Linked DNA regions of Neodiprion lecontei. The protein of the gene in region 1 purifies or fractionates together with the protein of each later gene. This does not show direct contact. Links are inferred from orthologs where the notes say so. Each region holds a gene or a part of one and is shown in the gene's direction. Other genes may lie near its edges. The genes, in order: nucleolar protein 56, ribosome biogenesis regulatory protein homolog, NHP2-like protein 1 homolog and nucleolar protein dao-5.

Evidence for each region.
Region 2: the proteins of nucleolar protein 56 (region 1) and ribosome biogenesis regulatory protein homolog purify together in Homo sapiens (co-immunoprecipitation; 3 studies listed by BioGRID and IntAct, with this or other methods). This does not show direct contact. The link is inferred for Neodiprion lecontei from reciprocal best matches to the Homo sapiens genes NOP56 and RRS1.
Region 3: the proteins of nucleolar protein 56 (region 1) and NHP2-like protein 1 homolog fractionate together in Homo sapiens (co-fractionation; 3 studies listed by BioGRID, with this or other methods). This does not show direct contact. The link is inferred for Neodiprion lecontei from reciprocal best matches to the Homo sapiens genes NOP56 and SNU13.
Region 4: the proteins of nucleolar protein 56 (region 1) and nucleolar protein dao-5 purify together in Homo sapiens (affinity purification with mass spectrometry; 6 studies listed by BioGRID and IntAct, with this or other methods). This does not show direct contact. The link is inferred for Neodiprion lecontei from reciprocal best matches to the Homo sapiens genes NOP56 and NOLC1.

Annotation. Positions count from the first base shown.
Region 1 is NC_060262.1:3,830,406-3,837,249, reverse strand, and holds nucleolar protein 56, read left to right. Parts: upstream 1-1,934; 5' UTR 1,935-2,087; coding exon 2,088-2,090; intron 2,091-2,438; coding exon 2,439-3,004; intron 3,005-3,618; coding exon 3,619-4,531; 3' UTR 4,532-5,884; downstream 5,885-6,844. UniProt on the Homo sapiens protein: Involved in the early to middle stages of 60S ribosomal subunit biogenesis. Required for the biogenesis of box C/D snoRNAs such U3, U8 and U14 snoRNAs. Part of the small subunit (SSU) processome, first precursor of the small eukaryotic ribosomal subunit.
Region 2 is NC_060266.1:947,838-952,385, forward strand, and holds ribosome biogenesis regulatory protein homolog, read left to right. Parts: upstream 1-1,999; 5' UTR 2,000-2,099; coding exon 2,100-2,245; intron 2,246-2,326; coding exon 2,327-2,585; intron 2,586-2,669; coding exon 2,670-2,971; intron 2,972-3,072; coding exon 3,073-3,240; intron 3,241-3,354; coding exon 3,355-3,505; 3' UTR 3,506-3,628; downstream 3,629-4,548. Other genes in the region: THAP domain-containing protein 2, read right to left, coding at 804-1,319, 1,398-1,587, 1,688-1,758. UniProt on the Homo sapiens protein: Involved in ribosomal large subunit assembly. May regulate the localization of the 5S RNP/5S ribonucleoprotein particle to the nucleolus.
Region 3 is NC_060261.1:30,700,031-30,704,291, reverse strand, and holds NHP2-like protein 1 homolog, read left to right. Parts: upstream 1-2,252; 5' UTR 2,253-2,440; coding exon 2,441-2,443; intron 2,444-2,626; coding exon 2,627-3,007; 3' UTR 3,008-3,569; downstream 3,570-4,261.
Region 4 is NC_060260.1:24,039,593-24,047,822, forward strand, and holds nucleolar protein dao-5, read left to right. Parts: upstream 1-2,123; 5' UTR 2,124-2,469; coding exon 2,470-2,631; intron 2,632-4,322; coding exon 4,323-5,765; intron 5,766-6,235; coding exon 6,236-6,316; intron 6,317-6,693; coding exon 6,694-7,104; 3' UTR 7,105-7,127; exon of another isoform or gene 7,128-7,192; intron 7,193-7,763; downstream 7,764-8,230. UniProt on the Homo sapiens protein: Nucleolar protein that acts as a regulator of RNA polymerase I by connecting RNA polymerase I with enzymes responsible for ribosomal processing and modification.

The DNA of each region.
Region 1 (6,844 bases):
TCTGTTTCAGTTGATTAAAATATTGTCTATTTCAGTTGATAAAACCTTTGTATGTTCAAGCTGAACAAAATTTTGTCTGTTACAGCTAATCGAACTTTTGTCTGTTTCAGCTAATTAAACTTTTGTCTGTTTCAGCTGATTGAACTTTTGTCTGTTACAGCTAATCAAAATTTTTTCTGTTACAGCTAATCGAACTTTTGTCTATTTCAGCTAATTAAACTTTTGTCTATTTCGGCTAATGAAACTGTTGTCTGTTTCGGTTAATCAAAGTTTTATCTGTTTCAGCTAATTAAATTTTTTTTCTGTTTCAGCTAATCAATTTTTTGTTTGTTTCAGTTGATTAAAACATTCGTCTATTTCAGTTAATAAAACCTTTGTATGTTTCAGCTGATCAAAATTTTGTCTGTTACAGCTAATCGAACTTTTGTCTGTTTCAGCTGATTAAACTTTTGTCTGTTTCAGCTGATTGAACTTTTGTCTGTTTCAGCTAATTGAACTTTTGTCTGTTTCGGCTTGTTTTCTGGTTCGGTTAGTCAAACCTTTTGTCTGATTTAGGTAATTACACCTTTGTCTGTTTTAGCTCAATAATTTTTTCATATTTTCGCTAATAACAATTTTTCTTCATCGCAACTTATTACTCCTTTGTCCGTTTTAGCTGTGTCTATAACCAACAATTTGTTCGATTGTCGAAAAAAAAAAAATTATTTCGATCATCTATCATAAAAAACAATCATATTTTTATCCATAATGGGCAATTAGCAAACAAACTACATATACTACAGTAGGTTAAATTGAACTACCAAATAAATTGAACTGTTCTACAGAAAAGTATACGAGAAGAAATGTGCTTCCTATAGAACTGTCCAATTTATCTCGTAGTTAAATTTAACCGACTCTACTATACGAATGACGAATTAGCAATCATAAAAATAATCATACCGAAAATCTACGAAAAACTAAGGTCAATTTTATAATTCTTCGTCGTGGAATAGGCCTACTGGGGATACCACGTAAAAAAAAAGCGCACCGGATGCTCTACTGCTTACAGTGGTGTGGAAATGAGCATATCTAATTTATTGAATTTAAATAAAAAGATATCAATAGTCAGAATTTATCTTCATTTGTTAACGTTTTTGTGAAAAGAATGAGATTAGAGAGTTATGTTTTCCACGGTACTGGGTATCGTCAATCAAAACCAGGAAACTAATTTTCATCTCATTCGAAACTCGTGTGATATTCGAAAATAAATTTCCAACAACGTAATCATAATATTTGCTTTTGATTCAAAATTCTACAGTACTAGGCTGTAACTTATTCTGATAAAATCATGTAGAAAATAGAAAAATCATTTTAATGTTTTCAAGATCAATTGTTTCCACATTCATTTTTAGCAGTAAGACAAAAATGTGTACAAAGTCCAATTAGCCATACTCATTTTCTTACAATCAGTCTTGGCGGCCGGCCATTTTATTTAAATTCAATGCAACCAATAACAAGAGAAAATCCCTCATCGAGCCATCGAATATTTCTCTGGCTTCGATAAAAGAAAAAAGAAAATCGATGAAAGCAATACACTTACCTGTTAAAATCGACGGTACTTAAAATCTTCATGAAAAATTGTGTGTCGGTTCAATCATCGAAGAACACGTATTCTGCCGTTGTTTTCGAGGTAAAGGTTACCGCAGCTTTGCATAACCACGACATTACTTACGATGTATTAGCGGATACGGCAACCCTCCAAATTGACCACAAGCACGATAAAATACTTTTATGAGAATCATTGAACGGTACTACACGTATATTTGTCAGTATTTGCCATCGACTTTTACATAGCATTTGATTCAAAAGTTCAGCCATACTGCTCGTCTCGCACTCTAATGGCGGCCCGCTGAACTCTATACCATGTATTTGCGAAACAAATGACTGTCTATCTTGATTGCTCCGTGATGTGAGAGCTGAGAACTAAAAGTTTTTAAAATGGCGTCAAACTCACTTCCCGTGCACATGGCCGTGTAGAGGCTATGTGTCGTGTGTGAAATCTCCGATAGCATTTTACTTGTTTAATAGTGCACGAATGTGATTAAAAAATGGTAAGAAGCATCAGAATTTGCAAAACTATATAGTATCACTAAAGTCCGACGAAAAACTTTATTCTGTAATTCACCATGAGACGGATCATGATAGGTAAACAATATCATTCCTCGTGATTCGTTTCGGGCTCGAAAAACTGTTGCATCAAAATCATTACACAATTTTCAAACTGTTTCACTTACTTCTAAGTACAAATAATTGTTCCCAACATCGTTTTCTTCTATCAAAGTCAATCTCATATCAAAGCCGCGTCACTTGTGAGATATTCGACGAAACGACTGGCGAAGAATGATTTTCGGAAACAAAACAACAACGAATTGTTCGATATCTTTTGTTAATTCTTACAGTCGAAGCTCTGCGTCCTGTTTGAACATGCTGCGGGCTACGCCTTGTTCAGCGTTAAGGAATTTGAAGAAGTCGGCATTCTCTTGCCCCAAGTCGAAGAGTCGGTAACAGACTTGGGCCGTTTTCATGGAGTTGTTAAGTTGGTCGGTTTTTTGCCTTTCAAGACTGCTCTCGCTGCTCTAGAGAATGTAAACAGCATATCGGAAGGCGTAGTGCCGAACGACCTGAAACTGTTCCTAGACTCAAGTTTGCCTGGCAAGAGAAAAAAGCTCATTCTCGGCGTCGCCGATCCTAAACTTGGCGCAAGCATCGCCGAAGCTTTGGATGTGAAGTGCGATCATACCGGCGTTGTGCCCGAACTTATCAGAGGCATACGCTATCATTTTCACAATCTCGTCAAGGGATTTACAGCAAAAAGCTCTGGCGTTGCCCAACTTGGTTTAGGACACAGCTATTCAAGGGCTAAAGTCAAGTTCAACGTACACAGGGTAGACAATATGATTATTCAGAGCATAGCGCTCCTTGATCAACTCGACAAGGACGTCAACACATTCAGCATGCGTATACGGTGAGTAATATATTTCATGGAGATCGGTTCATTTTACGAACCGTTTAAAAAGTTTCACGATTCCATTCACGTTATAATCACCTTACAAACATTGATTTTCATAATTATCAGTCGCGTAATCTGTGATTCAAACAAACTTTTTGGCCTTCTGAAAACCTTATTCGTTTGTTTATTGCCAATCAGAAATTATGTTCTAGATCAATAATTTTTTGTTGAGTTGATTTGATTTATTAGCCGGTCGAAATCTCCTCCTTTTCTGTATTCATTCGGTATATTGGTTTCATTCCAGTGAGCAAATATTCAAATGAAATCATGATTATAAAGAACTCGGTTGAGAAATTTTGTTGGTAAAATTTCTTCATTTTACTGTAAAATTACAATACTGGATGACTAAAATCAAATCAATGGTTCAATTGTTTTTAACTCTGTTAATAGATAAGCTAAAACGAAATTTACGCATTAGATGAATTACAGTTCTCAAAAAATCATTAAAACGTGTAAAATTTTGTCACCCATGGAAACGTTACTAGAAATGTATCGGTGATCCGATTACAAAATAATTATTTGACTTAATTGTATAATGCTGATCTTTGTTCATTCATTACCGTGAACAGCGAGTGGTACAGCTACCACTTTCCAGAGCTTGTGAAAATTGTACCCGAAAATTACCTCTTCGCCAAGGTAGCGCAACTTATAAAAAATCGCAAGGAGTTAACCGAGGAGAAACTTGAAGCACTCGAAGAAATTGTAATGGATAGCGCAAAAGCTCAGGCTATAATTGACGCGTCGAAATCTTCTATGGGAATGGACATCAGCCCTGTTGATCTTCTGAATATAGAAATGTTTGCTGGACGAGTAATCGCTTTGGCCGACTATAGAAAACAGCTGGCCGAATACTTGAGGTGTAAAATGGCTGGTGTCGCTCCGAATCTAGCAACTCTAATCGGCGATCAAGTCGGGGCTCGACTGATCGCGCACGCAGGGTCTCTGACGAATTTGGCAAAGTATCCCGCGTCAACGGTGCAGATTTTGGGTGCCGAGAAGGCTCTTTTCAGAGCATTGAAAACTAAAGGAAATACCCCTAAGTACGGGTTGCTGTTTCATTCCACGTTCATTGGAAGGGCAGGTGCCAAAAATAAGGGAAGAATTTCGAGATACCTGGCAAACAAGTGTTCCATCGCGTCTAGAATCGACTGTTTCACAGACACCCCGTCCAGTATATTTGGCGAGAAATTGCGCCAGCAAGTTGAGGACAGGCTGAAATTCTATGAGACAGGGGACGTGCCCAAGAAGAACATAGACGTCATGAAAGAGGCGCTGGAAGAGGCTGCACAGGTTGTCGTCGCTGCTGAGGAAGAGTCTCCGAAAAAGAAAAAGAAAAAGGACAAGAAAAGAAAGAGCGAAAATATCGAAAATGGCAACTCAAACGGAGCTGCGGTTGACAATGGTACAGTCGAAGCTGAGGTCGACGATGACGTACCCAAAAAGAAGAAGAAAAGGAAGTCCAAGAGTCAAAATGACGAGTGAGTGAACTACGGCTGAGGTTATTCGATCTCGTCATCTAAGTTGTTGTATTTCATTTACAAATGAAATCTAATAGATGATGCGACGATATTCAAAACTTGAAAGAGTGCATTTTCATTACTACAGACATTGAGACAATGAGGCTTTCTCAGTAAAGTTTACAATATTTACAAAAGATATGTTAGTTACCTATTTTGTTTACTTTTACATTTTTATGCATTTCAATGCATGTAACACTTGTATGTATTGAAATGCATCTGATTTAGAGGAGTGAGGTGTGAAAGATTTTTTACGACCTGACAGACAACTGAATGAATGCAGAAGCCTGTTTCGCCGCTAAGATCTAGTTTGAAATTGTAATTTCAAGTCGAAGAAAATATTTTAGTCGATGGAAAAAAAAAGTTTCTTCTAATTTAGTCTTAATTTCGGTTATCTATAAAGAAATCGGTTTGGGTATTCTGTTGAGAAATAAATATTTCAGTATTTGCATAGAACTTGTGTACACATGGTCGAATAGTCAATCTAAAATACAATATCTTACATAACGACAAAGGAATACACCGCAATTAGCACTTTTTGTTCAAAGTATTTGTATCTTGTCTCTCAGTCTGCAGTCTATTAACTTGATAAGTTTAATTCATAATGTTCGAATTTTGTAAATAAAGACACTGGACCACCACAATTATATTTTATTGTTATTATTCAAATCCTTTCTTAGTTTGTTATATGAAATTGACAGGATTGACCATGCAACCATGATTATTGTCATCGAATGTTTACGTTTTTTATCCTGCAAAAACTTGACATTCTGCTTCTGTACACATTCACTTGGATCATTTATCTTTGTCAAACATCCAAACAGAAAGAAATACTTTATGCTTTGGATGTTTGAGTACATTTCCGTAAAAAGCTGATACCGTAATTTGTACATTGAATACGGAATATTAAAAAATACTTGAAAACTATCGAATATTGTGGATGATTATCTTCATTATTGTTAATTATAACTCACCCGACTGATTCTCTGATAACGATAATCAATAACGGATAAAAGACGGGTAATTAAGAATGGCAAAAAGTTGAGAAACATCCAATATATTAATACCAGCACCAATGAGCATTTAATATGGTAAAATTAACTTGTAACAGGTATAAATATCTAAATTAAAAGTTACAATTCAGGTAAATATATTTTATATATAATACAATTGGGAACCCAGCTTATTAGAAGCTTAACATTATCGTGTGTACAATTTTTTAATTCTAAACCGTAGTACACGCACATGTATTTTTATTATCATCTATAGTAGGCCTGCTTCTGATCTGTGAGTAAATAATAATAATAATAAACAAAAAACCGTGCTTCTTTGTGAAACAAAATTATTCCAATACAAAGTTGCACTCAAAGTACTCGGCTATATGTTTTTTTTTTTTATTAAAACAACACTTAATTGTCAAAGCCGCAGCTTTGATCGCACTAAAAGTAATCGCTTTTATCAAATTGAATTTAACAGTCTGCTTTTAATTGTGAAAACCTATAAATGATTTATACATTTTATCTTTTATATACCTGGTTCATTTTCACCATGCATTATCATATATCATTATTGCAACATGTTCATTAACTATAACAATAGTAACCTGAGACAGGTATCGTGTCCTTATATCCGTAGGCTGACTGTACGGGTTTTTATTATTTTTTTTTTTTATATTTATTTCGCCCTGTATATTAATAAATGCATGTGATGTAGATCAGAAGATATTATACATTGGTAGGTAGGTACAGGTACATACATAAATTGGAAAAAATAATATAGGGCAGTTCAGTCTCAATGTAAGACAGGCGTGATGAGAAAAAAAAAAAAAAAAAAAGATAACGGAAAAATGTTACAACCGCAAAACTATGTTGCGCGTAAATTTAAAACAAAAAATGTATAATCGAGGCGGAAATTTTTTTTCTTCGGTACATATTTTCTAAACGTATGTATGTCATATCGTTCACGAATTTGAACTAAATAATATTTTCAATCAAACAGAGGGGGGGGGGGGGGTTTCTCTTATTAAACTAATTAATCCTGCTTGACATGAATTTAGGAAAGTAGATTAGAAAGAAAGTGAATTAAAAAGTTTTACATATACAATTATGAAATACAAGGGTTTAAAATATGAGTAAAATTATCCTAGGATTGTGATATATTGCTAACTCGTGGACTTTACATCAGGACCGTTTATCCAAGGGCTCTAACTATCTGTGGGAAATTTATGCGAACAAAGATCATAAATTTTTTTTTTTTTTTTTTTATCTTAGTCCATGCA
Region 2 (4,548 bases), on another chromosome or scaffold:
TTTCAGCATAACTCCAGTATTCGCATTCGATTATCATGTAAGTATAAAATAATCTAGCAACATGCATAGTTTCACACTTTTATCGTCTCAAATCCAAAATATCATTCAAATTTAATGTTGACGATAATGATTAAACCACGTGTCATATAATGTTACACTTTCTTAGATCACCTAACACTGGTATTATACGATACAAAGAAAATCCGCTCTCCATAACAGTATTCCTGAAGATTCGCGGTCTTTTAGGCTGTCATGCTTGTAACTCCTGCAATTTCGAAAATATAGCTTTCTTTTACCAAATATAAAGTTCTATAAATGACAACGATAGCATTGCGAAACTCCGAGTTCTACCTAACGAGTTATGAGTTAGACACTCTATCTATCAAAAAGTTGGTTGCTCGGAATCCTGTTCTAGCATTAATCCGACATTTTAAAATTGATCTCGGAAATAAAATATTCGACACAGACGATTATTTTACTCTCAATACATGCCTAGAAGTAACGCGATTCAGGATGAGTTGTTGTTCCATAAATTCATCTAGATGTAAGTGATATTTCAATCAGATTGCAATCCCATAGCACTTCCGTGAGATGGCAGCAATCTGTAATAATGAAAAAATTCTACATCATTATCAATAGAACATTTCGTTGTCCAAGCAGCATAACATATAATAAAACTCGTAGCTGATTCAGTGATTGCTTAATCAGAGGTAACACTAAACAATGATTTATTAACAATCAAATTGCTCACCGGTTCACCTCCGTTAGGACTCGTACGTACACCTATTTTATTTCAGGCAATGCTACACCCCATGTCCATTTTTTGTCACTCCACTTTTTGTCCTAGTTGAGTTGTAGAGTTCTTTAAGATCACTGAAGAGTTTATTTAGTGAATCGATTTTCCTCCTCTGTTTACCAATGATATTCTGCAGGTTCTGAATCTTGCGGGTCTTTAGTTTGTCCACATTCTCCATTTCATTAATTTTCTGCTTGAGCAAAGTTACCTCTCCACCACTGTCAGCAGCATGATTAATCACGGTATTTGGTTTCTCTAACGATACTGAGGGGGCAGGAGTACTCAAAGGTGCTTTCAGTACGGATTTGAGGTTTTTTTTCAGTTCCGCAGCCGTACGTGGATCCAATTTCACCAGGGTTATTCTGCTCGAACCAGGTTTTTGACCATTATAGACTTCAATCTGTTTCAATGAGACTTCTGAATTAGACAATGGAATTTTGTCAGCAATAGGGACATCTGAGTCTTCACTGTCCGTTGTAGGGGACAAGTATCGCTCATTAATTTCATCCTGCATCATCCGAGCCTACAAAGATCCCATTGTTGCAACATAAGAATTGCTTAGCGTGGATATTTTTTATGAACAAATGCAAGAGATACTAACATATTTCAGCCTGCTGATTCCAATTGTCGGTATAGCATCATTGTTGAGTTGCACTCTCGCTGTAGAAGCACGATCAAAGCAACTATCAGTAAAATGTTGAGAACAGAGTCTGCTGTACGGCGTTGGTTTGTAGTCAGCTCGGCCCATAAACCTGATCCAGGCATCCCGCCTGTCCGGACGTTTTGGAAACCTGATAGGTAATAATGGGAAACACACCAAAACATTTAGAAAGAAACTTAACCCTCAAGTCACGGACAATAGCTAAATTGGAATGTTGCAAAATTACTCACACATGGAAAGTGATCCGCTCATCCCTTCTCTTACGCGTTTTCGAATATCCACAGGCGGCACAGCTTACCATCTCAAATACACTCAAATATTCTCAATAAAAATTGCAGAACCAAGCCACGCAGCTCTTGACGTTCAAATGGCTGTAGAATAATCAGCTACTAGACCTCCTGTCGAAATGGTTAAAAAGAAGACATTAGACACGAGTTGGCGCACTTGTTCGCACACGAAAACAGTTCAGCTTCAACATCTCTCGGCTACGAATTCTATGCTACTATTTTCTTTCACCCACCTTTCACCGCCATCTATGGGTTCTTATGCATCACTAAATCCTAACCGTAAAATCAGGAGGTTAAAAATATCGCACGTAGTGCGAAGCGTGGAAACTTTTAGGTTACGTGCGTCGCATCCAGGATGGACATAGTATCGCAGGTCCTCGAAAAAGCCGCTCAGGATGAACGCCTGCGGACAACAGAGGTGCAAAAGCACTTGGAGGTGGAAATAGACGAAGGCTCGCTGCTCGCGGTCGACTACAACTCGTTCGACACTGAGAAAATCAAGTAGTGTAACCATTTGCATAAGTGAATCTCTGATACAGAATAGAAAGTTCCGGTTTTTAAACCCGTTGTTGTCTTTTCCAGGACCAACAGGGAGGATTACTTCAAGCAATTGACTAGGGACAACGTCCAGTTGTTGATAAATCGGATTTGGGAACTGCCGACAAAGCGTGTGGACGAAGCGGTCGTAGCAACGCTGCCGAAACCTAGATTCGTACTTCCCAGAACACATCGACTACCAAAGCCTAAGCCCCTGACAAAGTGGCAACAGTTCGCCAAGGAAAAGGGCATCAAGAGTAACAGAAAACGAAAGTCAAAAGTTACATGGGACGAGCAGTTGCAGGTAAACTTTTGTTTTCTAATTATGAAAATGATGCGCGCACTTATTCATCCAAGATGTAATTGCTCGATTTATTTGTTTTCTTAGAAATGGATTCCAAACTACGGTTACAAACGAACGCAGGCAGAATCTGAAAAGAATTGGCTGGTCGAAGTCAGTGACCATGCAGATCCAACTCTCGACCACCTATCCCTGAAGACAACAGCAAAACAGGAGAAGCGCAGCAAAAATGAACTCCAGAGACTAAGGAACTTGGCTAAAGCGAAGAATGTGAAGGTTCCTCGCGTTGGTATACCAAGCTCTGATTACTATCAAGATACACGTCAAATAGCGACTGCCGTCACTGTTGCCAGATCGTCTACGGCGTCAGTCGGTAAATTCCAAAACAGGTAACGGCTTTGTTTTAATGCCAAAATTGAAATGAAAACGGTACAATTGGAAATGCAGTAATGACTTATTCAGTTTGTTGTGTCCAATTTCACTTTCACAGACTTCCCAAGGAAAAGGATGCAAAGAACATCAAAGAAATGGTGCCGGGATCAAAGAAAAATAAACAACCAATGTTCAAACCTGGAGAGGAGGTGAAACGGAACCTGGGTTTTGTGGATAAAATCTTATCTAAAAGACCAGCGATCTCGATTGTTTCAAACCCCTCTGAGTAAGTTATCCCTACTCTCCTTGAAAGAATTAGTTTAATGTCTTATGCGAAATTTCGCGACCGTTGTCAACTACGTTAACCATTGGTTAAATTATGTAAAACTATCAATTACAGATCCCAAAACCGGCAGACGGACGACGAATCGCCAAGGCCAAAGAAGAGGAGTAAAATCAGTAAGAAGGGTGGCAAGAAGCCGAAAGGAGGCAAGGGAAAGCGAGATATGCACACCAAAGTGGGTGGAAGAAAACGACGGCAAAAAAATTGACGGGATCACATCCATTCGCCAATTTACGCCAATCCGATATTATAAAATTTCCCATCTTTGTATCGTGTTCGAAAAAGATTGTAATAAAAAAGAAAGAAACATTTTCGAAGATTACGGAATAAATTTCTGCCGAAAATCTTTATTGCTGACTCCAGAACGGGTCACAAAGATAGCAGCTCTTCACAGTACAAAAGCCGATGTGCTCGACTCCGAGAGGGCTCATGTAGTACAAAGGATACTCAAGTACCTACTGTATCGATAAAAAAGAAATAAGGTTCAAAAGTACGGAATAATCGATAGCCTGTGCCTCAGGCGTTAATTTTTTGCGACTCATGAGTTAAATAACAAAAATTTATCGCCCCAAGACGGAGGCTGTGAATGATAGAAAAAATGTGTTGTCGGACATGCACGATCTGTATAGACGAAAAAGAATAAATCTGATAACAATAAATCTCCTCGATTGATTTAAATTGCATAGAAACTTAGATTTACGATGTTGGCTAAGGATTGGTAGTTTAATCTGTTTACCTGAGGAAGAGAATTCTGAATTATACCTAGAAATGCCGTCCTGTTTTTCAATTTCCGAACACGAATCCTACGACGTAAAAGAAAAGTCAAAGTACAGAAGTGGAGAGAAAAGAAATTGTCGGAGGATTATAATTGTAGGTCTTTTTCGGGTGAGGAGATAGATTTAAAAAAAGGGGTTCCGTTCGCCGGAGAATTTTTATCTTCAATATTTTGTTCCTGCCATAGTCGCGGACAATCCTGATCTAAGCAAGGTACGAGCAGGCGCACAATACTCGAGTGTCATGCGTAGGATGATGGTGTATTAGATATATCGAATGAAAGTACATATCGCGTAATCGGAGTATAAAGCCGGCAGGTGCAGAATCGTTGCGATTCAATGGGATAATATAAAAATAATATAAAATCTTCGACGTGGTCATTGTCATCGTTATACAATCATCAACGCGAAAAGAGTTTTGATACTTTCCAAATGACAAACAAGACCAACAATAATAATTTGTGTGAATTTTCGACGA
Region 3 (4,261 bases), on another chromosome or scaffold:
TCGAGTGGCTCCAGGAAGCGGACCCGGAGCGCAAGATCCAGGAGGTTGAGAACCCGGTACTCAAAATTTCCGGAGCGCGATTTTAGTACGTCCGCTCTATTGCGCGGTTGTTGCCAGACTGAGGAATTCGGCGAGCTGATATTCGTCTATATAGATTGATGACGTCAAGAAAAAAAAAATTTGGATGACGTCACTTTCTGAACATCCGAACATCCGACATCCAAACTTTGGTTTCGAACTTTCATACTATGTATGATGATGTATGACTTTAATACCATGTATGATGTATCACAGCATGAGTTCCTTGGAATAATGTGAATTTTGAATGAAAAAAATCTGCGATTGTAATGACTAAAAATGTGATGGAACGCACCTCAATCGTTTTGTTTTAAAAATATGAAATAAAAAAAAATTGAGCTTGTTGAGTCAAATTCATGTTTTGTTGAGTCAAGAGTTCAATGGTTGAAGTAATAAAATTTGTTGTTACAAAAATTGAATTGACTGAACATTAGAATTATTCAAATGCACAAAATGTATTCTTCGAATGATGTTTTTTATAATTTTGTTGACTCTAAATTTTATGGAATTTACTTGATAATTTGACATTACTAGGGCACACTCGAAAGATTATTGCCGAATATGAGGAAGTATACATACATAAACCTTACATGTTCAGTAGTTTTAAATTACGCGTCGTCAATATCAATTTCGATGAGTCGGATAATGGCATAACGTTCCCTTTAATTGTTATAGGCTTGATGTCTAATTTGTCCTAGGTTATCCGTAACCAAATTCTTGGCCGACTACCCGGTTTTGTAACTATCTCTGAAGCTACTTATAATACTACGCTTATAATACTAGTATACTGACGTTAACGATGAATATATTGTCTGCGTGTTTCAAAGCATGTGGTTTTCCTTTTACCTCGTAAACAAATTAGTGCAACTGATTCAACCAGTTACGCCAACTAAGCTCCGGTTGGATCAACAAAGTGTGGCATTTATCGATGTAAATGTTCTGTTTGCTAGATTCATATACTTATTTTACTTGAAGTATCTAACTTTTTCTGTCAGCAAACATACGAGTTGGAGGAACAATACATAAACTTCAAATATATGAACTGGTATTTAGTTGACTCAATTTCGGAAACACGTGAAAAAGTTCACTCGAGTCAATACTTCACTCGATCGCGATAAGAAAGGCTTTTTTTTTAAATTAAGGAATTCACTTGACTGAATCATTTTGACAAACTAACTAAATCGAAATTGTTGAATTGAAGTCATCGTATTTAAACCAAATAAGGAATACTAAATTGAAGTTAATGGACACCAACAATATCTATTTTGTTGATTCAAGAATTTCTTACCCTCAGTGTACATTCAACCGTCAATATTTGTGAGAATGCGAATTTGCATAAGTGAAAAGTTCTAGAGAGACTGAAGAGGGTATTCTTCACGATATAATACGATTGTTGAGTACAGTCTAAAATGCTATCTGGTTTTCTCAACTTTAGTCCGTGTTTATTGATGCATATACACCCACGTCGTTTTTTATCTTGAACCGTAGGGAACCAGACGCATATTGTCCATACATACGTGTACATTTAGAATTCAATAATTTAAGAAGCTCTACGAGTGGTCGGAGTAAAGTTCATTCATAGACTATGGTAAAATAATGTACATACATACGGTGTACCAAGGTCAAAGCTCCTCGAGAATAACGTTCTTGTGCACATTCCATATGGGGTTAGTTCGATCAGAAATCTCTTTTCAGTCCTGTAAAAATTTGTTAGAAATTTTATCATTCAAACGTTGACGCGTCCGTTTGTTTTTTTTTTTAGAAATTCATTAAGAATTGGTACAAATTTTTGTCATGCATCTTGTGAAATTAAATATCGTTTTACATGTTTTTCATACACTCGAAAAATCTCTTAAAGTACTACAATTTTGATAGTACTACAATATTTTTTATATATTTTCCAAGATCTGCAACTAAGACTTTTTTCTTCATTTCACACCATTATGAAAGCACAAACGAAAATCAATCGCGTGTCCATTTACTAACCATTCAAATCAGGGATTCAAACTCGTTTCAACCGGTTAAGAAGGCATTTAAAAGCTTCGATTCAAAAGGTATCATGCCGCAGACGAGTGCACTGCGTAGTTTCAGTTCAGGACGGCGATATGCTGCGGGAGCAGTGACGCGATCCTTTACAGATGAAAGCAACACACTGTAGACTGATACTCTATGCTTATATTTCCCAATACTTCCTGTGCATGCGTAGTTCAGTCAACGACGAATATACGTAATAGAAACGCGGCAACGTTCGGCAAAGTTCCAGGTTCCTCAGTGAAGCGATTTCTACAATTTATCGCCGAGAGGTTATAACCGGGTATTTCGATACCTCATTTCATTCCACAGTAACAGATATATTTAAAAAATGGTAAGTCCCAGTCACGTGTTACCGAATTAACTACATCCAGTACAAATTACACAGTCAACGCGCTATCGACAAGAGGTTATGTCGTTTAGCACGTGGACGCGCAGTGAACCGTACGAAGAGCTGCAAACGAGCGAATAGAATTGACCACAACCGCGTTTGATTTAATAAATGAATATTTTACAGACCGATCAGGTGAACCCGAAAGCATACCCGCTGGCCGATGCTACTCTGACAGCAAAGATCTTGAATTTGGTTCAACAAGCAATGAACTACAAGCAGCTTCGCAAAGGAGCAAACGAAGCTACAAAGACGCTTAATCGAGGTCTATCAGAGTTTATCGTGATGGCTGCAGATGCAGAACCTCTGGAGATTCTACTCCACCTTCCGCTACTCTGCGAAGACAAGAATGTTCCCTATGTCTTTGTTCGTAGCAAGCAAGCACTCGGACGAGCTTGCGGAGTTTCCAGACCCGTGGTTGCTTGCTCGGTAACAGTAAATGAAGGATCTCAGCTTAAGCCACAGATTTTGGCTATCCAACAAGAAATCGAACGGCTATTAGTGTAAAGGCTGTAATAAAAGACCTCCGGGAGTACCTGATTCTAAAAATTAAAACACCGCGGAATAAATTCGCATATTTTTCTACGCAATCCTGTTTTGCTTCTTCGTCCGAGGAAGTCTACCAGACATTATTTCAACGAAAATGAAACTGATTTATATGCATATGCATATGTATATGTATAACATACATATTGTAGCACTACAAATAATTGTATTATTACCAATATTTGAATATTATACCCATTTCTTTCAATACCATCTGCCGCAACCATTTACAAAACATTTTTGTGAATTCGGAAGGTCAGTAAATAAATGAAACTTTGTAACAAAAAACATAATCTTTTAACTACCTTTCGTAATGTCGCTCTACCAGTCATGTGATCAGTAACTTTGCTCATGGCTCGGCCTTTCATGAATATGACTTTTCAAACTTGGAATAATTCATGCATTTCACTACAAAGAAAAAGAAACATCTAGAATTAATGGCAACTGTTGTTCGCAAACGAAAATGACAACACTGAAGGTTGGTTGTAATTTTTAAATAAATACTGTATTGGTTCAAATATAAGATGATTTTGGATTTCAAAACTACGTATCAGAAATCATATTATAATAATACCTAAATAAGGGACATCTGGATATAAGTCAATAGAGTCTTCCAGTCATATGCAGTATCAAAAACCTGGACTCATATTTGAAACAAGACGGTGCTACTGTTCGTGTCTGCTCATCTATACACTATTACTATGTATTCCAATGGATGCTGTTTATTACATAGGGGAAATAAAAATGGATAAAACGTTCTAAATACAACATAAAACGTAACATATATTTGATTCGAAATTAATAATTAATATGGACTGAAGCAAAGTTAAGTAAACGAGATTATACTCTGTGAAATAAAACAACGATTAAAGCAATTACGATTAAGGTCGATAAAAAAAAATTTGCATACCCACAGCTCTTAAATGTTAACGTATTTGTGTAAAATAGGCCTCAATACTCCAAGGCATTGAAAAACTATTTTGTATATATTGTTAGAAAAATCACAGGTATGTAGTACACTAGAATTTTTGTCGAATAACTTCATTTCTAATAAATAGAACTTCTTCGACATAATTATAATGTTAATTCGGTTATTAATAGTAAACTAATCATATTATTTCATAGAAAACACACCAACCTTGAGTGATAATTAGTTACTTATACAACTGCGATAAGTTTGGCATTAATCGTACTGGTTCCTTTTTTTTCGCTTTG
Region 4 (8,230 bases), on another chromosome or scaffold:
ATGGAAAAAAAGTTTATAGTCAAAAATTATGCCGATTGATTAACAGAATGACGCCAGAAAAGATCCATTCGATTAGGTTTACCAGAAAAAGGAGGAAATCGTCACTGCTGAGGCAGGTGTCACACACGGGTGAAAATATCGTAAAAAAAGAGAATATTGATACTGAAGATCTAGATTGAAATTCTATTTTTACCATTCCATGGGTAAAGAATGCAAGATTCATAACTGTTCAGACATATCACATGCAGTTAACAAGAATCAGAAGTCTACTAGCTGAACATTCAGAAATGAAGGTAATTGGAATTAAGATTCACATGGCAAATTTATCTAATTGATCAAGAGGCTTTGAATGCATCACAAATTTCTTCCATTTGAGTAAACCCATATGACTATTTTCCTTTCAGATGATTTTCACGAAAATTACAGATGAAATGTGAACGTTTTAAAATAATACTAATAATGGACAAATTTTTGCCTGCAAATATGTCTAAAAATTCACTTGAAATTCAATGTGTTCGAAATGATCATGAAGGCAGCCATTATGGTATGAATAGTTCTTTCAATCTATCATTATTGAACATAATTTTTCAAAAAGTGACGAGTAATAACATGGATATTTCCTAAGGTTTTCAACGAATCAATGGCTTGCTTGTATTTTTATGAAACTCACTTCCTAAAATTGGAAAACAGTGAGGCTACGCTTGCTTTTTCATAAACCACTAATCCAAGGTAATTTATAATTTCAGTAGGGGAGGGTGGGGCAAGACGGCCCCTCTAGGACAAGAAGGCCCCCTCCAAAAATTTGGTCAAAAAAAATTTTTTTTTTTTTTCAAATTATCGGGATTTTGATATATTAGCTCATTTGTAACCCTACGCGAGATACCTCGGGCAAAATGGACCAGCCAAAAATTCTAAAAAATAGATTTATTTACATTTTTAAAGTCAAATTATGAAGAATATGTACTTATTCATTTTTAGGCTGATTGTCTACTAAGTAGACTACTTGTAGGGTAAAATGAGCCACTAGCAGCATTTGAAAATAATAATTTTTTTTTAATTAATTAATTTCTTCAATTAAAGTTTTTTTTCCGAGTTTCATCAAAATGTCCATGGATTTGTTCGAAATAGGTCAAAAGTTAACTGACTTGATGGTTGAAAGCCACGAGTAATAACCGGCTTTGGGGGGCCGTCTTGCCCCAACCTTCCCTACTTGACATTCACAACTTTACCATTAAATAATTCTATTATAAAGCCGAAAAAAAGAACCACAGAGCTAGAGGTCAAAGGCAATCAAGATTCATTTCTTCCAGAGCCTGTCATGAAACTTGATGCTCAAAAAAATCATGTAGGAGATGGTGTCATACTTGTCAAGATCTTCTCGACAAAGCTAACTGATTGCAGTGCGGAACTGAAAATTTAATATACATTTGGCAATGTGAACTACCTTGCAGAGACCAGAAAGTTTATCAGTGTGAAATATGGTTAAGCGAATCAATATAGATATGGTAGTGATGAATTATGCATTTTGTATATTGTTACGCAACATTTAACTAACTCTGAACTTGAAAAGATGCGCTTTCATAATGATGGATTCCTTCAGCAGGTCATCTCAATCAAAAGATTAATTCAGGCTAAAAAAAAAATGCAAAGTTATGCATACGCAAATCTGATGAGAGTAATTTAAATAAATAATATATGTCCTGTTTGCATCAAGTTTAATATAAGATGATTGTATTTTACATAGATACAAGACTATCTTCTTTTTTCCCGCGTTAATATTCCGTGATACCTATGTGATGTATAAAGACTCAACCCTGAGCTATTTTTCGTAACGATTCAGCGGCTCTGGAAGGGATTGGGGGTATCAGTAGTTTCACGTAATATTAACCGAGTAACTAAACACGTCGGTAACAAAGTACTTCATAACCAACAACTATCGCGTGCAAAACGTTTGTAACAACGTCAATTCATGGTTTTTCAATTAAAGAGCTAAAGAGACGCGGGAAAAAGTCTTTTTCTCACAGGACATATTTAGAAATATTTAGAATGACATAAATAATATTATTTATACAATCATATGATCAACGGTTTTTTTTCAATAACTGATTTTCGAGACGCAAATTAAACGTGCGTTTCGAACGATCAACATGACCACTAACGGCTGCCTACTGTGTACTCAGTTGTCTACATGCCGGCGCTTAGCGGGTATTTTTTAACCTGTCGTATCTTGCGAATGACTTCGGATACATGTTCTTTCGGTTAATTTACTCAGTTCGGCTATATGAGTTCGACTTCCTCTGTAACCCCTATCAGTTTGATCACTTGCAGCTGAGACACTCTATATGGCGACAACTTCAGTCGATAAAGTAAGTTCTCGAGCACGCCGCAAGTGTGACGTTCGAGGTAGCACCGAAACGTAGCGTGGTAAATGGTAGGTGATATGGTGATCTTGTATAGCGTATCTGTCTTATGGCTAGCGGCCGATTTCAATGCGCTCCGAAGTACGCCGTCTCTTCGCACGCGTCCATCATGGCCTCCATAGACGATCCTACGATCTCCGCGCTCGTTTATGATTATTTATTGAAGAAGGACACATCCCTGGCGAAAGTCTTTCAGAAAAAAACAAAAGCGGTAAGCTTCAGAAAAGAATTGATGTATTTTACCCTTGCGTGACTATATTCTATACGATATACCGCGGCCGATAATTGGCAGCCTCGATAGCCGCACCACGTGGATAATTTCGAAATCGAAACGGCTTCTTATAAAGCAATTAAACCAAGCACAATATTTCATCCACACGAGTCTCGTTATTTCTCTCATTAAAATGTACTCCGTAACACATGTCTTTTCGATCTTCTTTCACGAAGCTTGAATACGAGACTCAAGATTTTCTAACCTCCCATGTCACATATGAGAAATAAATTCGAACCTGCTTGACTGAATGTGAAACGTGTTTACTCACGTAAGCAGTTTATTGCCAATTAGCATTGGGAGTGTTTTCACCTGTATCTTTTTTCAATCACGGTGTCATTCATCGTTATTACTTAATTTATCTCTAAATAGGTACTGATTTCAGTACAGCTAATATACCTTCAATATTGTACTTCTTAGAGATTCCTAAAATTAACACTGTATAATTGCCAATTTTCACTCTTCGTGCACTTGATATAGTTGTTTAAAAATAATTGCAATAATATTTCAATATTTGTATTAATTCTACAGTTACATTGTAACCTAAAATATTGCAAACCCATGTTTTACGTGACAAATAGAAATTGAATACTTATTCCATTTGCGACATAACATAACCATGTACAAATGTTTTATGCGCTGATGATTTGTGTATATTATAGCGATGAATACAAAAAATATATACACATATTATGTACGTGGTAGATTTTTAAATGAAGTATTTGTCTTCACATTCCATGTACTTAAGATGAAACGAGTACATACTTAGAAATCAAACTTCTTTTATAAATATATATAAATATTCGTATATAGGGGGTTTCAGTTCATCCATTCGAGTCATCGGAGATTTTGAGTTTTTGGCTGACCTACAACAACTGTTCCAGAATTACGGGACCTCGAATGGTTTGCGAGAGGTTAACGGTTTAATGTTTAAAAAAACACAATTAGTTGATACAACGGATCTATCTTTGAGCATGTATATCTTGTCTCCCTGATGCTGGTAGAATACTTTCGCAACTGATTTGCGAGTGCAAAGGATTTATCTTTAAAACTGTGAAATTGATAAATATTTAAGGACAGTTTTTAATTGCGAGATATTCCGAGAGGTTTTGATTTTGATTTTTAAACTAGAAGGGCATAATTTTCTACTTGAAAATTCCACTAAATACTTAAGAGATCCTCAAGTTTATAGAAGGGTGCTTTTTTTTTCTTAGTTTTTTTTAATTATTTAATTTCTTTTATCGCCTGCTGGAGTGCAACCACTCTTTTTAGTTTTGAAAATAATCTTTTAACGTCAGGGAGCCAATATATTCATGTTCAAAGATCACCTTGCATCGAATGAATGGTTATTTTCAAATTTTGAAAAGTCAATATTTCGTGGACCATTCAGCATCAGGCCGTATAACCCTAGAATAGTTGTTTTGGGTTCGCCAAGAATCAAAATCTGAAATGCTGCCAAAATCAGTGACCCATGCGCAGAATTGCGATCCGAATGTGCTGGAATCCCCCACACATTAAAAAGAATGTGTGTCGTATGCAGTGTGAATTGGAATTAAATGGCTAGGATTTCTCAGTACTTTGATCAAATTGAAAATTTATTCTAAACAAATTTTGAACGATTTTAATTTCAGCCTGAGCTTGCAAAAGGCTCTCCAACAATACTGCAAGTAATACAGCATTTTCAAAAGAATTCATCGAAAAAAGTTAATGTTAAAGCACAAAAGACAAACAGCAGTTCAGATTCAAGTTCGGAGAGCGAAGATGAGGTGCCTAAAAAAGTGCCAATAGTTAACGGCAAAGCGCCAGTAACAAAAAAGCCAGAAATCAAAAAGCAAGAAAGTTCATCAGAAGAGTCTTCTAGCGAAGATGAAAAACCAGCCGTCAAAGTATCCCCGCCTAAACCTGTAGCTAAATTAACACCTGCCGCAAAAGAATCAAGTTCAGATGACAGCTCGTCGGACGAAGCTCCGGCTCAAACAATTTCTTCAAAAACAAAACTGACCCCAGCTAAGCCAAATGCCAAAAAAGCTTCTTCCAGCGACGATTCTTCAGATTCTGAAGAAAATTCCAAAACACAAGTGGTGTCTAAACCTATGGCCAAAGCTGGACCTAAAGTAATCCCTGCAAAAGTAGCTGCAGCGAAACAAGAATCCTCGGACGATAGTGATGATAGTAGCGATGACGAACCAGCTGTTAAATCAAGCTCCAAACCTGCAGCTAAAGCTGGCGCCAAGCCCGTCGCTAAACCTGTGGCAAAACCAGTCGCAAAAACAGAGACTTCTAGCGATGATTCGGATGATTCATCAGAAGACGAAAAACCGGCAGCAAAGACTCCAAGCAAAGTTACACCTGTAGTAAAGGCTACTCCTATAAAGGTTGTAAGTTCAGCAGCTAAAAAAGAAGAATCTTCAGACGACTCTTCCGACGATGATGAGCCCACTGTGTCCCCAGCTGCTAAGGTGGTAGCTAAGGCAGCTGTGAAAGCAAAATCGAGTAGCGAAGATTCGGATTCATCTGAAGACGAGAAACCTGCACCTAAACCAGTCACTCCTGCGAATAAAGCTACCAAACTTGTCGTTAGGCAGGCTAAAGAGTCCTCAAGTGATGATAGCAGCAGCGATGAGGAACCACCAAAAAAAAAGTTTGCAGCACTTCCAACTAAACCTGCAGCAAAACAAGAATCATCCAGTGACGATTCTGATGATTCATCAGAAGTTGAGAAACCAGTGCAGAAAGCTGTTGTAAAATCCACACCAGCTAAAGCTGTTGTCAAACAAGTAGCTAAGAAAGAGTCCAGTGATGACTCTGATGAGTCTACAGAGGATGAGAAACCTGCATCTAAGCAAGTTGCCCCCAAAGCTGTTGCTGAGGAAACATCCAGTTCTGAGGATAGCGATGAAGAGGAAACGCCAAAACCTAAAATTACTCCAGCTGAGTCCAAAAAAAGAAAACACCAAAATAACGATAACGATGAAGACGATGAAGATGATACAGAAGCAAAACAAGTTGCAAAAAAACAAAAGGACAAATATAGCAATTTTGTAAAGGCTGGGAACAATGTAAATGGGGACAAGGTAACTATTAGTTGCAAACCTAGCAATTTTTATCTTGTATCATCAAATTTGCCCTCAATAGTACACTGAAACTGTTTTACACAGTTCTGGACATCAATATCATTTATTTTATCCATAAATTTAAATATAGAAAATTTAGTCCCCGCAACCTTTTAAAAACAAAAATTGAAGCATGAAATTTTTTATTTGAGCAGTAATCCTCTTTTTCCCTAGCGCTTATATGTTCCCTAATTGAAGCAGTATTTGTAGACGAATTGAAAACTAATGTTAAAGATGTAGGTACAGAAAAATATTTACAACCACCAATATTCGTGGAGTTCCTTTGTTGTTTACTTTGTTTTTGTGTATTCATATCTTTTAACAGAGTACTTCACTATCATTAATGTCACAAATTGCACTAATTTTTCATGGCTCCATTTGAGCCCACCATCAATGATATACTTACCTTTTACTTTCATTCTGTGAACCAGAAAAATACACCATTCAGACGCGTAAAGGATGACGAGATCGAAGTGGATCCACGATTGGGGAGTAATGCATTTGAAGCTAAGGTAAATGCTCGGAAACAAATGAGTATGAAAACAAATGAGAAACACAAGGTCACTCCCATACTCTTTCATGAAAGTTGAGGATTGATCTGTTGAAAAAAAAAATTATACGACTTTGTCCTGATAATTCAAGTAACCAGAAAAGTGTATATACTCATATTGTTTATCGTAACCGACGATTGTTTAGTTCTGAATCTTGGACTTGGCTACCAAATTCGAAAGCCTTATTGCCACCTGATATTGTTTGCGCTCATGTTTCCATGCATTATCCTGAATTTTTCCAGGTGCCTGTCTCGTGTCAGTGGCCGAGAAAGGGCAGTGCTCGGACAAATGATATCAACTTTCAGATTGCTTGACCTTGTGTTTCTCTCTTGTTTTAGGAAGAGGGTGAGGAATGTGCCCATACCCCAAATAACGGTAACTTCAGGGGCGGAAGAGGCGGTTTAGGTTTCCGCGGAGGAAGGGGTGGCGATAGAGGTGGTCGTGGAGGCTTCAGGGGTGGGAGAGGTGGTGATCGCGGAGGTTTCAGGGGGGGTAGAGGTAGCTGGGGTGACCGAGGAGGAAGAGGCGGTGGCCGAGGAGGGGGTGGCAGAGGAGGTTTCGGAGATGGAGGCAGAGGCGGTGGTGGACGAGGGGGAGGTGATTTTAGAAAATCTTGGGGAGGTGACGAAGGTGGCCGAGGCGGTGGAAGAGGTGGGGGCTTCAGGGGCGGCAGAGGGGGTGGTTTTGAGAAAAGAAATTCATTTGGAGATGCACCCGCTCAAAATAAGAAAATCACTTTTGACGATTGATTATAGGAGTTTTTAAAGATAAGGTAATCGCTCAACATAAGACTCATGGATGTATGAAAAAGCCTGTAATTGGTACGGTAATTCACAAGTGAGTTTTTTTTTTTTTTTTTTTTTAAATAGAATCATTACATTTGTCGAATTTTTATAAATTCTTGATATTCAAAAAAAAGCACATCGTTTGGTTCTGAATTCAGTGGTGACTTTGTAGAATTCTATACGTAAACAAAGAATTTGGCATGACGTTAATCTGACACAAAATCAGGCTCATATGCGTCAAGCACGGAATTGGAAACTCTGATACTAAATTTTCGTCTTTCCAATTAGTTTCGGACTTGTAGGACTTGTTTGTACTTTCATGATATCTTAGTAAAATTTATAATAAATACATGGTGTCCAGACATGAGAATTCAAGAATTCCGTTTGATCTAAATTCTGCGAGTGACTTTAAACTCGGCAATATCTTGCGAAATTCGAATACGTACAAGATCATTCATTTCTGTTTTTCTAAAGGTAATTTTTACATTTTTCACTGTTCGTAACACAAACCCGAAAAACTTGAAATTATCATGAAATCCTGTTCACCATGTAAAATCGTTACGTCAAGTGAAGTGTTAAATGTGACGTGTAATAACCGAAATTATCTTGTTTTATTTTAACAGAAAGGTTTCCGAGGCTCATGGGGAGAAAGAGCAAATCTGGACCTGAAACACACCAGGGGGAAATCGTTCCGTCATGAAAAAACAAAAAAAAAACGTGGCAGTTATCGCGGTGGTCAAATAGACATGACAGTCAATTCCATTAAGTTTACCGACAATTGACAAATCGATTATTTCACGTGAAATATTACGATTACAACATGATATACGCCATAGCTATTTCTTACAAGAGTCTTATTTTTATTACAAACCACTTATTATTAAATTATTTCTCATTGTAAAACCGTTATAGAATCATCATTACTTTCCGACGTATCGGCAACGGTGTATTTATCACCTGACATTTAGCTTGTCAAAGCTAGATTTATGTTTTAAAACAATTTTATCCGTTCCGATTACGCATTATATCAAGTACACGTTGATAAAACGGGAACAGGGATCGAAGAATTCCTATTACTGGCAGAAAATGT